4 linked regions of the Xenopus tropicalis genome follow. The protein of the gene in region 1 purifies or fractionates together with the protein of each later gene. This does not show direct contact. Links are inferred from orthologs where the notes say so. Each region holds a gene or a part of one and is shown in the gene's direction. Other genes may lie near its edges.

Region 1 (3,571 bases):
TGTTTACCCGGTTAGTAAGTCTAAATAAATATATATGTATGTGCGTGTGTAGATAGATAGAGAGAGAGAGAGAAAGAGATATATAATTTTTTTTTTTTTAGACAGTCAACCTTTTTATATTTGAATTTATTAATGTATTGGGAAAAGAATTTTAGAAATGCACTGTGTAAGGCTGTTTCAATTGATTTCAGCTATACAGTATTTGTATTTTCTCTTAAAGGTACTGTGCTAGGCTACCTAGTGACCCATTTACTCATCTTGCTCCTAAGTGCAAAACACGAGAGTTCCCTGATGGACTTTATCGCTCAACACTCTACCTGCCAATTAATTCTCCACTTAGAGCCCCCATTGTTGTAAGTACTTGGTAAGAATGATATTACCAACCACAAGGCTTAGTTGATGAACTACTATTAATCAGCTTTTTGAAACGGTGATTTTTTTTTTTATATTCTGTACCAGTTTTAAGGTTAATGCATTTCGCTGGAACTTTTTTATTTAAATTAGTAATGCACCTCTTGGATATTTAGAGTTTATCAAGGGGACTGCTAAACATTGTGCCTTGTTTCTTTTATTTAGAATATGGCATGTCATATCTTTGAATAGGATCATTTCTCATATCAAACCACAAGTTTTTGAAGCAGTTCTCTGAAAACATTTTAATGTTTCTAGGGCCCTCCGATGAATTGTGGAAGGCTAGCTGATAGAGCTGTAGCTCTTATATGCTGTAAAAAACTACATGAAATTGGTAAGTAATTTCCTATGAGAGAGAAATTAAAAGGTCAGTTCCAATAAGTGTTTGTGGCATGAAAATTTCTGTGTCCGCTTCCTGAACCATTTTTATCCCTTTCCTTGTGACAAGTGCTGCTTCCACTACAGCCTACTCAGTGAAGGATTCTAATGTAGTATGCCCAATTAGCAGTGCCACACTTAAAGGACAAGAATGGCCAAAATGTTAGGCATCCCCCAATGGAAAATATTGCCTTTTCAGAGAAAACTGTACAACGTTATTGGTACTAATGCGATTCTCTCTGCACCGGTGGCAAAAGCAGAGAGTCAGCTGTGCCCCCTCGCCAACGAGCCAAGGGGGCTGGCATGTCGGTCCAGCGACTAAGCTTTTAAAATATTTTTAAAAGCTTAGGTTGTCCTGAAAAAAAACTATATATTGTTTTCCTGGTTAAACTAAAATCCCCCCCACCCCTGGGGAAAGACCCCTAAAGTGATACAGTGCAAAATGTTAAACTGGCAGTAGAAGCTGGCAGTTAAAGGGTTAATTTGACATTGCTGAGTGACACTTAAATAAACCTGCACATTTAGTTTCTTTGGTGGAATTGCCTGCTTAATAATGTCATTGTGTTCTTGTTCTTTTATTTTAAGGTGAACTGGATGATCATTTAATGCCAGTTGGCAAGGAAACTGTAAAATATGAGGAGGAGCTTGATTTGCATGATGAGGAAGAAACCAGTGTTCCAGGCAGACCAGGATCCACAAAAAGAAGGCAGTGTTATCCAAAAGCTGTGAGTGTGGTTGATTGTTTATCGCCAACTTTGATGGTTTGGGTAATTTTATTTTACTGTGCAATGGCATTTTGATCTGGAACTTAAAGGGGTGCTTCACCTTTAAAATTTTTTTAGTATGTTATAGAATGCCCTGTTCCTGGCAACTTCGCAGTTGATTTTTATTTATTTTTTTATAGTTTTCCAATTATTTACCTTTCTCATCTGCTTCTTTCCAGCTAAACTAAAAGAAACTAAATAACTGGAAAACCAATATCAATATCAATGTCTACATCATATTAAAAGTTAATTTAAGATGAACTACCCCTTTAATAATAAACCATAAGAGACAAACAAACATTTTACCTGCTTAAGAATTAAGGGAATTAAATTCAGTCTGCTGCATGGGGGCTCTTATAAATATATGGTACAAATGAATATAAAAAAAATTACACAGCAAAAACTATAAAGTTTTTCCCTCAAGTCTGACATACTTTGTGATTAGTTACATTATTCTTTGTCTTCAGTGCTGGAGGCATTATGTGACATAAAACAATCTGGCATTCACATCTGCAGTATCTGTTGTAATAGTAGCATACATATGCTTTGTACTATGTATGTATGTGGACTACAGTTAAGAGAAATAAACTAGGCGATGTAGATAATCAAGCTGAAAGTGGTCTTTAGGGCTCATGTTTACATAGCAGATCTACTGTATGAAAACCTCCAGAAAATGGCACATTTGATGCCAAATAGTTTTTGTAGGTACTGGGAATCAAACATGTAAAAAAAAGTATGTATAAATTTTATTCACTTTATAGCATCACTATTTCTTTACATAGTTTTAGGTGTGCCTCAACTGTAAAGGTGGTCATACATTGGTTGATAAAGCTGACAACTTTGTCCTTCTGCCCCTTGTATGCATTGGCACATTAATGTGATCCTGTCCTGAGGACTTGCATTGGTGACCATTATGATCAAATCATTGGCCCAAGGGCAAAATGATCAGATCAGTCTATTTCCCAGCTCAAAGTGGGAGTATCATGGAAAGATATGCATGTTTGTAGACCTCACCAAATGTTCAGTCCTTACAAATAAGCTGACTGTTTAGAATGTTTATTCAGGCATAATTGAAAAACATATACATGGGAAGTAGCATGCATATACACCACCATTTAATAGAAGAAATAAAATTACAAAAACATAGGGCCCGATTCACTAAAGTCCGAAATAAGGAGTGCTATTTATAGCATGCGTTAAAAATCTTATCACTTCTTATTTTTCGCTCGATTCACTAAAAGGACACTTGTCATAATTAAGAAGCGATGTTCTTGGCGTTATTTATCTTGCGACGACATATTTTCAAGCAACGTGCTGCGTAATATGTTGTGCGCTGCGTAATATATTGCTTGAAAATATGTCGTCTCAAGATAAATAACGCCAAGAACATCGCTTCTTAATTATGACAAGTGTCCTTTTAGTGAATCGAGCGAAAAATAAGAAGTGATAAGATTTTTAACGCATGCTATAAATAGCACTCCTTATTTCGGACTTTAGTGAATCGGGCCCATAGTGTCTAAATTACAAAGTTCTTTACGCAAGGAGTGCATGGTTGTGGGATGGTTTCATTTAGATTGAGATGACCCCGTATTTATTTGAAAGCAAATCAGAAATAATTCTGGGAAATAGACAAAGTTCTCCTGACATCTGGTTTATGCACGGATTAGGAGTTTACTTCCTCGATTGAGCAGTTCTCATAGTTTTTAAAGCCTTCTCCCAACCTGCCCCTTCCATTGCTGCTATAGATAAGTGGGGAATAGACTGAGACATTGCCAGAGAGGGCAGAATATACAATGTGACATCACCAGAGGGGAAACACTCAGACAAAAGTTAGGTTTGCAACCTGTGACTAGAGGAGATTGTCTGCATCTCCGAGGCTTTTGGGTCAACTTGCACATCAAGTGTTCTCCTTTCAAATTTCCTGTAGACTACAGTTCATCCAGTAGGTTTTATAGCGCTAACTTTGCATGCTGTAACAGTGGTGTATATGTGGGTTATTTCTGGGGGCATAAGTCTCA
Region 2 (4,036 bases), on another chromosome or scaffold:
TCCAGGTGGCATCCCATCCAGGCCCGATCAGCCCGCCCCAAAGTATGGTCATGTGACAAGGAAAGTCCGTTCCTGGGCGCACACACACACACACCAGAATTATGCCTAAGCACACAAAAACCTGTCCCCTCAAAAAAAATTCAGCCATCCCCTAAAATTATGCAACACACCAAAAATGTAAGCAAATTCCAAAACTCATCCCTATAGCTCACACATTTGCAGCACATCCACCCACCTTCACCTGAAAATGTCAGAATACACAAAAAAAATAAAAAACCCACTTCAATAAAACAAAAATACACACACTTAAAAACTTAAGAGCATCTATTACACCAATAAATAAAACCACTTGACACATAACCCCTTATATTAAGGGCACACACACCATACAGAGACCAGCAAGTGTACATACAGCTATAGCCAGCAACAGCAAGTGCATCTTTTTTCCAAATGTACAGATAGATCCCACAAGGAAAAGTGAATACAGATTTTATTCTACACCTACAAAAGCGAATCATTTCAACTCAAAAGAGCTAAAAGCACTTCCTGCGTTCAGTGAAGTGTTCTTCTCCAGGCATCCACCAGTAACCACTAAGAGCTGGACTGTGTTCTGTTTATATAGCCAAGTGAAGAAGGCGCCTACTAGGCTCTAAATGTCCTAATAGAAAAAAAAAAGCCACCCCCAAAATTATCTAACTCTCCAAAACTCTTCCCCATAGCTCAGAATTGTGCAGCATGTCAACATAACCGAAAAAAAAATCAAAACCCCAAAAAAAAAACCAACAAAACGCACACCCCAAAACTCATCAGCACCCTTAAAGCAAGAAATACAAGCACTCCACATATAAGCAGGCTCCAACAACCCCCTAATATTAAGGGCACACTCCTTACAGAGAATAGCAAGTGTGTAAAAGATCCACAGCCTCCACTGAACAGCAAGAGCCCCAGTATTCAGGCAAGAACTGAATAAACTCCTGCATTTAATCCTATCCCAAGAAAACAAATAATGCTTCCCAGCGCAACCCAATACTCACTCAATAGCACGCTGTGCCACTACCTTTAACAAGCCATTCTCTCCATAGCATCCCCGAGTAACCACTGAGGAGCGAACTCACCCATAAGCTACTTATACAGGCGTTTGAAGAAGGCGCCGAATGTTACGTGTTGGAGACGTCGCCACGTCTTCACGTGTTTGTGATGTCACTCGCCATTAGCAACTAGGAACTAGCAGCTACCGTTACTCCCGGCGTCATGTCCGGCCTGAGTGGGAGGGTGCAGGCATCAGAGTCTCACTCCTCCTCAGTAGTGGAGGAGACAGGAGGACCGGGCGAAGTCAGTGGCTGCTGCTCCATCAGAGGCAGATAACATAATTTGTTTGGCTGACGTGGACGGAAAACTTCACCAATAAACTCCTAGCTGTTGCCCTGTCAACAGGAGGACCCCCATACTCCTCGGCAGCCAATAGCGACCAGGTGCTCTTACTCCGCTGAGGTGTTGGAAGAAGTCAGCCAATCGCTTGTTGGCTTTCATTGAAAATTAACACTCTGGCAAAAAGGTAACCAATCAGGGGCGGCAGTGGGGTGCACAAGAAGCTCTCACTCCGGTCGCTGGAGTATGAGTCAGCCAACCAGCTTTTGGGGTTCCCCACTCAGGCCAGTGTGGTGGAAGTAAGCGATGAGGACTTGGAGGTGACTCAGCCAATCACCAAGGCAACCGCCATTGCGCTGCTATCCATTCTCCCCTCCCACTTGTTCATTCCAGCCAATTGCTGCTCAGCTGTCAAGCTCTTATCACAAACTCCTGTTGTGAAAACAGGCAGCCAGGTGACTAAATCCCCCCCAGCTGTGGAGTTGTGTGACAAGCCAGCAGGAGAAGCCAAGAGAGAGCCCCATTCTTAGAGTGACTACTACACTACACTGCCAACTAGCTTTCCTCTATCTGCCTGCAAAAGCTCAGTGCCATTGGTTGTTGGTGGCTCAAAAGGGTCTTGTCTTTGGGGGCAGTAGGCCCCAGTGCTTAGGGTACTCCAGGAGACAAGAGGAACTCTTTGCCATCTCTTTTCTACTCCTCATTGGGAGCTACAGATTCGGTGAAGCGTCCATTGACCTCCATGAATGGAAATCGGAACCGCAGGTGAGGAATAGTTTGCTGTTCTGTTAACTCAACATTCTGTCAACAGCATTCTGCATTCTGGAACCTCTGGAATTGATTTGATAGTGTATAGTGGTAATGTCTAACTGTTGCAGAGGTAGCTGTGGAAAGATTAGCAGAGTGTAGTCCAACAGCTTGAGGAAAGTTAGACTTTTTTTTGGTGCTGCAACTATACCCCATTAGTCCCTGTCATTTCTCATTTTTTTCCTGCTAAATACACATCCAACAAAGGGGCATTGCTTGTTTTTCTCTTTTTTTTTCCAAAATGTATTGTTGCACTTAATCATTTGGCTATAGACTGTGTATTGAACTGTAGGTAGACTACAAAATGCTTCTTTGTTTAAACCCCATTGGAAGCATTGCAAATAAAAAACAAGTTGCCAAAGTGTTACCTGTGTTGGATAACTGACATAAATAAGTATTTCCTTTCCTTAACCATGATTGTCAGTAGTCCATTAATAGTCAACTTGGCACCATAATAACAAATATATAGTAGTTGTCTTGTGCCCTAGCGCTAGCAAAAGATTCACCACAGCTGTAAAAGTCTCCTGCTTCCACTTTCCTTTGCATTTATGCTGCTGATTGTTGAGAACAAAGTAATGCATCAAATAAGGCAGTGGTTCCCAGACTGTGGAGCTGATGCCACAAGGGAAGGGGGTGTTTCATGACCTGTATAAAAGCTCTTGGCCTTCAGCCTCATTCTTTTATATGTATGTATATATGGTCCTAAAACCTATAATATGCTTATATTACACATTTTTCACAACATATAATGCAGGAATGCTACTCCTCTTCACTGCCTTTCATCTGACAAAATTGTCAATAATCCAAGTCCAATAATCCTTAATCTACCATATGCCTGATCTAGCCGTTTAATACAGCTTTTCTGTCAACTGTACAATTGCTAATTAAGGGGTTCTCTCTATATTTGTACATATAATTGCTATTAAGTAGTATTTGACGGTTTGTATTCTCTGCACTCTTGGCCCTGACTCCTGAAAAGACCTTTGGGGACCTAATTTCAGTTACATTGTTTATTCCTTTATGTTTTCTGGGTCTGATTCTTAAAAACAAACACTGATTTAATGTTTAGTTAAGGTCCCCTTTACCACTTTCACTGGCAGTGTATTTGTTGTACTTCTATTGACGGTTTTTGAACATTTTGTGCTCCTTCATTTTAGGGGCCTTTACTGGGGGTACTTAAGTTTATAGGTTTTAAAATATGCTAGAATGTTGGTATAATTTCATTTCTGTAACAAGATATATCCTTCTAAATAGCTAAAAAATAAAAAAAAATCCATAATGTAAACACATATCAGAGACATCATTTATTTTATGCAAATAAATACAACTGATTTGGAAAGTACCATGTACTGAACATACCAATACCAAATATTTATAGTTTTATGGAGTTTCATGGATTTCTCACCCAAAACTTTCATTGGTACACTACCAAATTTCAAAGCACTGGTCCAGAAATCTGCATACTTCAGATTTCAAGGCCAAAAATTTGACTAACAGTAGGTTCACCCTAGAAAACCATGCATTTTTGGGAAGAACAAATTCTGATGAATCCAAAATTAGTAAATATGTCTCTTTACTCCAAACTACCAAGTTGCAGTGCTTTCCTAGAGTTATCAGTTTTTAATTTTTTTTAAAAAATTTCCTCAAAGCTTCCATTTGCAGAATCTTATCTCACACATGATGGCCAATGTGTATAGGTTTACCAAAGTATGTGGTATGTAGGGGCCCCAAGATGAAGACACTCCATATGGTCAATCATTTATGTCACTTCAGCTACTGTGAGAAGAGTAAAGCTACAAAAAAGTTTCGACCATAAAGCCAAATATTTTTGGAAAGTAGACATTCCCCCAAATCCAAAATG
Region 3 (3,571 bases), on another chromosome or scaffold:
AATTATGAATAAATTACTTTAAAACAAATTTGTTTTTTGCAGAACAGAGCAATTGCAACTCCAAACCAAGGTGTCTGGGACATGCGAGGAAAGCAGTTCTACAATGGCATTGAGATAAAAGTCTGGGCAATTGCATGTTTCGCTCCACAGAAGCAATGCAGGGAAGAAGTGCTGAAGTAAGTGCAAAGGCGAGGGCTGCTGCAAAATTTTCTGTTCCAAAACTTACTCTATCTTTTAATATCAGAAAAAACATATAGCTGTTTAGCTTTAACGTTATCATTGTTGCCTTGTAAACTGTCTTGTGTATTGAGAAAGTGGCAGTATACCTTTACATTTTTCCTCATTTCTTTATTAAACACACAGGGCAGGGAGTGACTTTGCCCCATGGGTGAGCTTAGGTGAGGTTTGGCAGCCCTAGTGGCCCATTGCATCCGATCAGGTTACTTGTAAATGTTAACTGCTAATTGGTTGCTGTGAGTTATTAGCCATGGCACAAACAAAAAGGGTAACTATTTTTTGATCCTGACTTCTGTTCCCTCCCATTCCAGAAATTTTACCGACCAACTCCGCAAAATCTCAAAAGATGCAGGAATGCCAATCCAGGGTCAGCCATGCTTCTGTAAATATGCACAGGGGGCAGACAGTGTGGAGCCCATGTTCCGGCACTTGAAAAACACATATTCTGGCCTTCAGCTCATCATTGTTATTCTGCCAGGGAAAACACCTGTATATGGTAATTATCAATTGAAAATTAAAAAGCTGCTGTCTCACTAGTACATTTTAGGGTGGGATGGGAGATGAAAGGTGGTGGGTGACAGACCCTCCACAAAAGTAACAAGTGGATCACCAATGGAAGCGTATTCACTTACTAATTTATAGGCTTTGGTGAAGGTAGTCACCAGCACTTGTAACCTTGCTTTTGTGTCCTCTATATATTTGGGGTTCCACACTAGCGTGGAACCACTGAAGTGGCCAAAGTGACCTTGTATAATCCATGGCATTTGTCTGACTTAAGAAAATAGCACATTTATATTTTAGAATAAATACTTTCCTTTAGTAGGAGATAAACTACAACATTTGCATGAAGCTAAAATGTATATTCATAAAATGTCAGCAATATAATATAAAGCTTCAATTTTTCCACTCTGGTCCTCCAAAATAGAAAAGCAATCTAACCATTTACACCACAGGCTCTATATTTTTTTTGTAGAATGAATGGTTTTCAGTGGGATGACTCTATTCAGGGCTAGCATGATTACACTATTCCCGTTTACACGTATTTTTATACAAATTGATTCCACCACCTAAGCCTGAGTTAGCTGCTAAATAGGACTATTTGAGAAAAAAGCAGTGATTACGCCCACTTTCCCTTCTTTGTGTTTTAAGTAGAGCCCAACAGAGTTTAAAGACTGCCTGCTTGTGGCTTGTTCCTGTCCTCAGTGCTGCAGTCAGGAAATAGTTCTCTGTGGAAGACAGTGTAAGCTTGGATGGTATATATTGCTTAAAATAAGGTAATGATAACTTTTTTTTTTCTTTTTAGCGGAAGTGAAACGTGTTGGGGATACATTGCTTGGGATGGCCACTCAGTGTGTGCAGGTGAAAAATGTAGTTAAGACTTCTCCTCAGACGCTCAGCAACCTCTGCCTGAAGATCAATGTCAAGCTGGGTGGTATCAACAACATTTTAGTACCTCATCAACGGTGCGTTATCAACGGTGCATTTTCTGCTGTGCACACAGTGTGATAGCAGTTTTTTTTGTTTTGTTTTTTTTTTACTCCCTTCACTTTAAGGGCTCTGGCACACGGGGAGATTAGTCGCCCGCGGCAAAACTCCCTGCTCGCGGGCGACTAATCTCCCCGAGTTGCCTTCCCCCTGCCATCCCACCGGCGAACATGTAAGTCGCCGGCGGGATGGCAGACGCGGCGGCGCGATTTCGCGCAAATCGCCAAAATGGACTCGCGAGCCTTTTTCGGCGATTTCCCAAAATCGCCCCGCCGCGTCTGCCATCCCGCCGGCGACTTACATGATTAGTCGCCCGGGGAGATTAGTCGCCCGCGAGCAGGGAGTTTTGCCGCGGGCGACTAATCTCCCCGTGTACCAGAGCCCTAATAGCCATGTGGTTTTTCAGTTCACTTAACTGCACTGAGGGTGAAACTAGAACTACCATTATTACCATTTATTATATTGGAACTTTCGTAACATTTCTACCTGGTATTATATAGCGCTGACAGTTTTCCGCAGTGCTTTTACAGAAATAATATGTCATTCACATGAGTCCCTTCCCCAGTGGAGCGTAAGGTCCCAATCAAATTCAAACACACAGTAGGGTAAATTTTATCAGGAGTCAGTTAACCTGCCTGTATGTTTTTGGAGTGTGAGAGCAAACTGGAGTATTCCGAGGAAACCCACGTAGTTACCTGTTGCTGGAAACAAATTCAGGACCCCAGCACTGCAAGGCATCTGGTGTAAATTTCATGTCAATAGCCTCATTAGAAATATATTTACTGAGAAAAATGTTGACGTGTTCAATACTTATTTTCCCTGCTGTATATCCTATACTACTTATTTTAACCAGCCTTGTTTAGTTTCCTTAAAATGATCATACTGACATTGTCATCGGGACACATACTTTACTAACAAATTACTACAGTGGAAGTATACTTTCTGAACCAGCATGCCATATATATCCTATATGCCAACATAACCAAACTTATTTCTGTTAAAATGGAGTCTATTGGAGATAAGCTTCCCATCATTTGGAGCTTTCAGGTTATTGGGTTTCTGGATAAGAGATCCTATACCTGAATTGTGTTTGTGTAAAATTGCATGTGGCTGATTTTTCTTATTATTTTATTAGTTTGATAGTAAATGATACATTTTCAAAAATTGTGTGAATTGTTAAATGCATTAAAGCTTTTATTTTAAAATCCATAAAAAGTCTTTAAACAGCCCCCAATAATGACACACTTCTCTCCCAACGTTGAATCTGAAAAAAGCTGAAAACTGCAGCTAAAGATCGGTTACTTTCTTACGTTTTATTATACATATAATATAAAAGGCTTACTTACCGTATCCTTTAAAAAGGGGCCTAATATTAAACCTTTATATTTGAGGTTGGCATTGAGATAAATAGGAGGTATATATTTGTAATACAGATTCAATAGAACATACTATATATTTTTTTTTAAATTCATACCTGCTGGGGTCAAAACAGTCTCTAGAAATACCACTGCAGTTGGTAGCCAATAAAAATATGTTTTAGAAGAACAGTCACAGGGATCTTTAATGTGAAATTAGTCTAAATATTCAGCTTATATATTTTAAACATCTCAACAGGTCTGCGGTCTTCCAGCAGCCAGTTATATTTCTTGGAGCAGATGTTACACACCCACCTGCTGGTGATGGCAAGAAGCCCTCTATTACTGCGGTAAATCACAGACTGGAATGGGGGGGGGGGATAAGGATTGCATTAAAAGATACCACTGCATTGCAAACTATCTATGTAAATGTTTGAGTGTCTGAAAAGCTTTTTTTTTTTTAAGCAGATATATATAGTGTTTTGTTCTTGGTC
Region 4 (3,096 bases), on another chromosome or scaffold:
CCTTACTCCTAGTAGAGAATGTACCATTAACAACCACCCTCTGTACCCGATCCTGTAGCCAGTTTTCTATCCATGTGCAAATTACTTCACTAAGACCAATAGACCTTAGCTTAGAAAGCAGTCGTTTGTGGGGAACGGTATCAAATGCTTTGGCAAAATCCAAATATATTATATCTACTGCATCCCCACTGTCCAGCTTCTTACTTACCTCATCATAAAAAGCAATTAAATTGGTCTGACATGACCTGTCCTTCATAAAGCCATGCTGATTACTGCTCATAATGGCATTCTCCAGTACATAATTTTGTATGTGATCCCTTAACAAGCTTTCAAATAACTTTAAACTGATCGAGTGTGAGCCCAAAGGTTATTAAATGGGAGCTGCCATATAGCATTCTTCATAGTCCACAACTGAGCCATTCAGTGTGTTTCAGTGACTATATTGGGTTCCCTTGCAAGTTATTTTCTTTGCACCTAATCTGGAAGTTTTTGAGATATATGATTGGTAAACCTGCTGAAATTTTACATTGCCTCTGCTTCAGGTACACAAAACATGTCTTTAACAGGGTTTATGCAGTAAATATTATTTGTTCTACATGTAGGAGAGGGACCAAGCAAGAAAGCCGCAAAACAAAAAGCCGCTGAATCAGCACTGAACATATTACAAGGAAGCACTGGCAAATGGTGAGTAATAAACTGGAAATCTTTTCTATGGTTTCTATACACTGTGTGTCACAATATATTTATTGAGTATTGCATATGTCCTGTCAAGAAGTAGAAATAACAGTTTACTTCCTTCTGCTGTCCTCTCTATATAAACAGCCTGCCTGTAAAGAATACTGTAAGGGATGTGCCCAAGCAACCACTGAATCAGATGAAGGAGAATCCTGTTGGCTCACTACAGGTATTATCATGGGTTTTTTTGCCTCTATTTCGTGTTTGATTCTAATGTTAACGAATGACTGATGTTATTCTCACTCTTGGTCTAAGGGACAGCTACCATATTGGATTCGGACATGGTCGTTATGTACATGTGTATAATGCACGTGTGCATGAGCAGGGCTACCATTACTAATCATGGGGCCCTTTACTACTTAGCAAGGCACATCCCAAGGGTGCCATAGTTGTGGGCCCTGCCAGCAAGTAAAGTAGGACCCCAATGGGAAAAATGGTCACACCCCACCCCTGATCTACTTTTGTATCACTGAAGTGAAAGATCAGAAAGCCTCTGTCTTTGTTCTTGTAGGAGTTATCTGTGCAGAAAGGATGGCGCCTTCCAGAATATACAGTGGCTCAAGAGTCCGGTCCCCCTCATGAAAGAGAGTTCACTATAACTTGCCGTGTGGAAACCTTTGTAGAAACTGGTATGTGTTTTGCTTATAGCATGATAGTGGGGGCAGCACTTATACCCCCACAAAATACAGATTTCACTATAATAAAGCTCTCCGTTTGTAATTGCTGAGAATCCCATTACAATATCAGTTCTTCAGTGCAGCTAAGGACTGATTATGTTTGTGCTTACTTAGATGTCTGCTGGACCTGAGCGTTCTTTTTATACTTCTCCCCACAGAGCAGTTTTAAAAGATAGATGGATGGATGGCTGTGTGTGGGTAGATAGATAAAATCTCTGATCTTTCTTTGCCTTTTCTGTTATTGGGATTGTTGGGAAGTCCCAGAATTCTTGTCCAGATATTTTACACCAAATCTTTGTTCTGCTTTTAGTTTCTCACATACAGAAAGTCTGACCATGTCTTGTTGTACTATATCCAGCATTGGTACCCAATAAGTTTTAGTATAACATGTACTTAAAATTTACACTGCTTAACACTTTTCACTTTTCACAACAGGATCTGGAACCTCTAAAAAAGTAGCCAAGAGGGTTGCTGCAGATAAACTTCTTACCAAACTTAAGGCCATTCCAGTTGATAATATGAATATATCTCTAGTAAGTATGTGTCAATATAAAATAAAAGACTGCAAGCTTTGCGCCTTTCTAATAACCCATAACATTTGAAAGCAGACATAAAATTGGATGCTATGGGTTATTTTACTGGGCAAACGTTGCCCATGCTACTAAGTCTCCCACTAGAATCTGATGTAGAACACTTGGCCTGATTTCTGTCTGTAGTATTAGGTATGTGGTGCAAATAGGGTTCGTGACCTTTAGGGCAGTGGCAGATGGGGACGTTAGTGGCCCCGCGACAAATCTTTGTTGCCGCAGGCGACTAACCTTCCCGCAATGCCATCCCACCGGCAAGAATGTAAATCGCCAGTGGGATGGCATACGTGTCGCTACAAGAGGAGGGGCGATGCATGTGTCATCCCACCGGCGATTTACATTCTTTCCAGTGGGGTGGTATTGCTGGGAGATTAGTTGCCCACGGCAACGAAGATTTGTCACGGGGTGACTTATCTCCCCATTTGCCACTGCCCTTATATTGCTGTTAGGTTGAACCACATTGACTGCAATGTTCCTCTGTATCAGCTGCAGCTTCCAATTAACTTTAGTGGGAAGTGTGCTTTGACAAACGCTATTACTGTCCAGGGGTGGTTCAGTTTCTGGTTAACGTTTAGTACAGTATATTATAGCATGGTCTATTCTTAGTAACATTTTTTTTATTGGTCTCCATTTTTTATTTTTCATAGTTTTTGAATTATTTGCTTCTTCCGACTCTTTCCAACTTTCAAATGGGGGTCACTGACTCCAGCAGTCAAAAACTATTGCTCTGTGAGGCTACAATTTTATATTTTACATTACTTATCTTTCTATGTAGGCCCCTCTCTTTATTTTCTATTCTCATATTTCTGTTTCTTTTACAAGCCACTGCCTGGTTGCTAAATTATTCAAAAAATGCAAATAATAAAAAATGAAGACCAATTGCAAGTTGTCTCGGTAGCCTTCTCTACATCATACTGAAAGTTAATTTAAAGTTGAACAATCCCTTTAAGGGACATATCAAGAGAAACATACACCATTTTTTTACATGAGCTCATTGAGTTGGGCCTATGTAGAAAAGGGTGCTTAAACACAGATATTATTAAAAAAGTATTTTTGTTTTTTTACCTGCCAAGTTTTTCTGGCGTCTCCTTTTCTTT

What was found.
Region 2: the proteins of dicer1 (region 1) and ago3 purify together in Homo sapiens (affinity purification with mass spectrometry; 3 studies listed by BioGRID and IntAct, with this or other methods). This does not show direct contact. The link is inferred for Xenopus tropicalis from reciprocal best matches to the Homo sapiens genes DICER1 and AGO3.
Region 3: the proteins of dicer1 (region 1) and ago1 purify together in Homo sapiens (co-immunoprecipitation; 7 studies listed by BioGRID and IntAct, with this or other methods). This does not show direct contact. The link is inferred for Xenopus tropicalis from reciprocal best matches to the Homo sapiens genes DICER1 and AGO1.
Region 4: the proteins of dicer1 (region 1) and prkra purify together in Homo sapiens (co-immunoprecipitation; 4 studies listed by BioGRID and IntAct, with this or other methods). This does not show direct contact. The link is inferred for Xenopus tropicalis from reciprocal best matches to the Homo sapiens genes DICER1 and PRKRA.

The regions. Positions count from the first base shown.
Region 1 is NC_030684.2:88,595,633-88,599,203, reverse strand, and holds part of dicer1 (endoribonuclease Dicer), read left to right. Parts: intron 1-220; coding exon 221-353; intron 354-669; coding exon 670-745; intron 746-1,374; coding exon 1,375-1,514; intron 1,515-3,571. UniProt on the Homo sapiens protein: Double-stranded RNA (dsRNA) endoribonuclease playing a central role in short dsRNA-mediated post-transcriptional gene silencing.
Region 2 is NC_030678.2:81,759,981-81,764,016, reverse strand, and holds the start of ago3 (protein argonaute-3), read left to right. Parts: upstream 1-1,168; 5' UTR 1,169-2,114; coding exon 2,115-2,133; intron 2,134-4,036.
Region 3 is NC_030678.2:81,780,139-81,783,709, reverse strand, and holds part of ago1 (protein argonaute-1), read left to right. Parts: intron 1-42; coding exon 43-176; intron 177-548; coding exon 549-733; intron 734-1,540; coding exon 1,541-1,700; intron 1,701-3,336; coding exon 3,337-3,427; intron 3,428-3,571.
Region 4 is NC_030685.2:64,079,778-64,082,873, forward strand, and holds part of prkra (interferon-inducible double-stranded RNA-dependent protein kinase activator A homolog A), read left to right. Parts: intron 1-602; coding exon 603-684; intron 685-822; coding exon 823-904; intron 905-1,246; coding exon 1,247-1,364; intron 1,365-1,847; coding exon 1,848-1,945; intron 1,946-3,096. UniProt on the Homo sapiens protein: Activates EIF2AK2/PKR in the absence of double-stranded RNA (dsRNA), leading to phosphorylation of EIF2S1/EFI2-alpha and inhibition of translation and induction of apoptosis.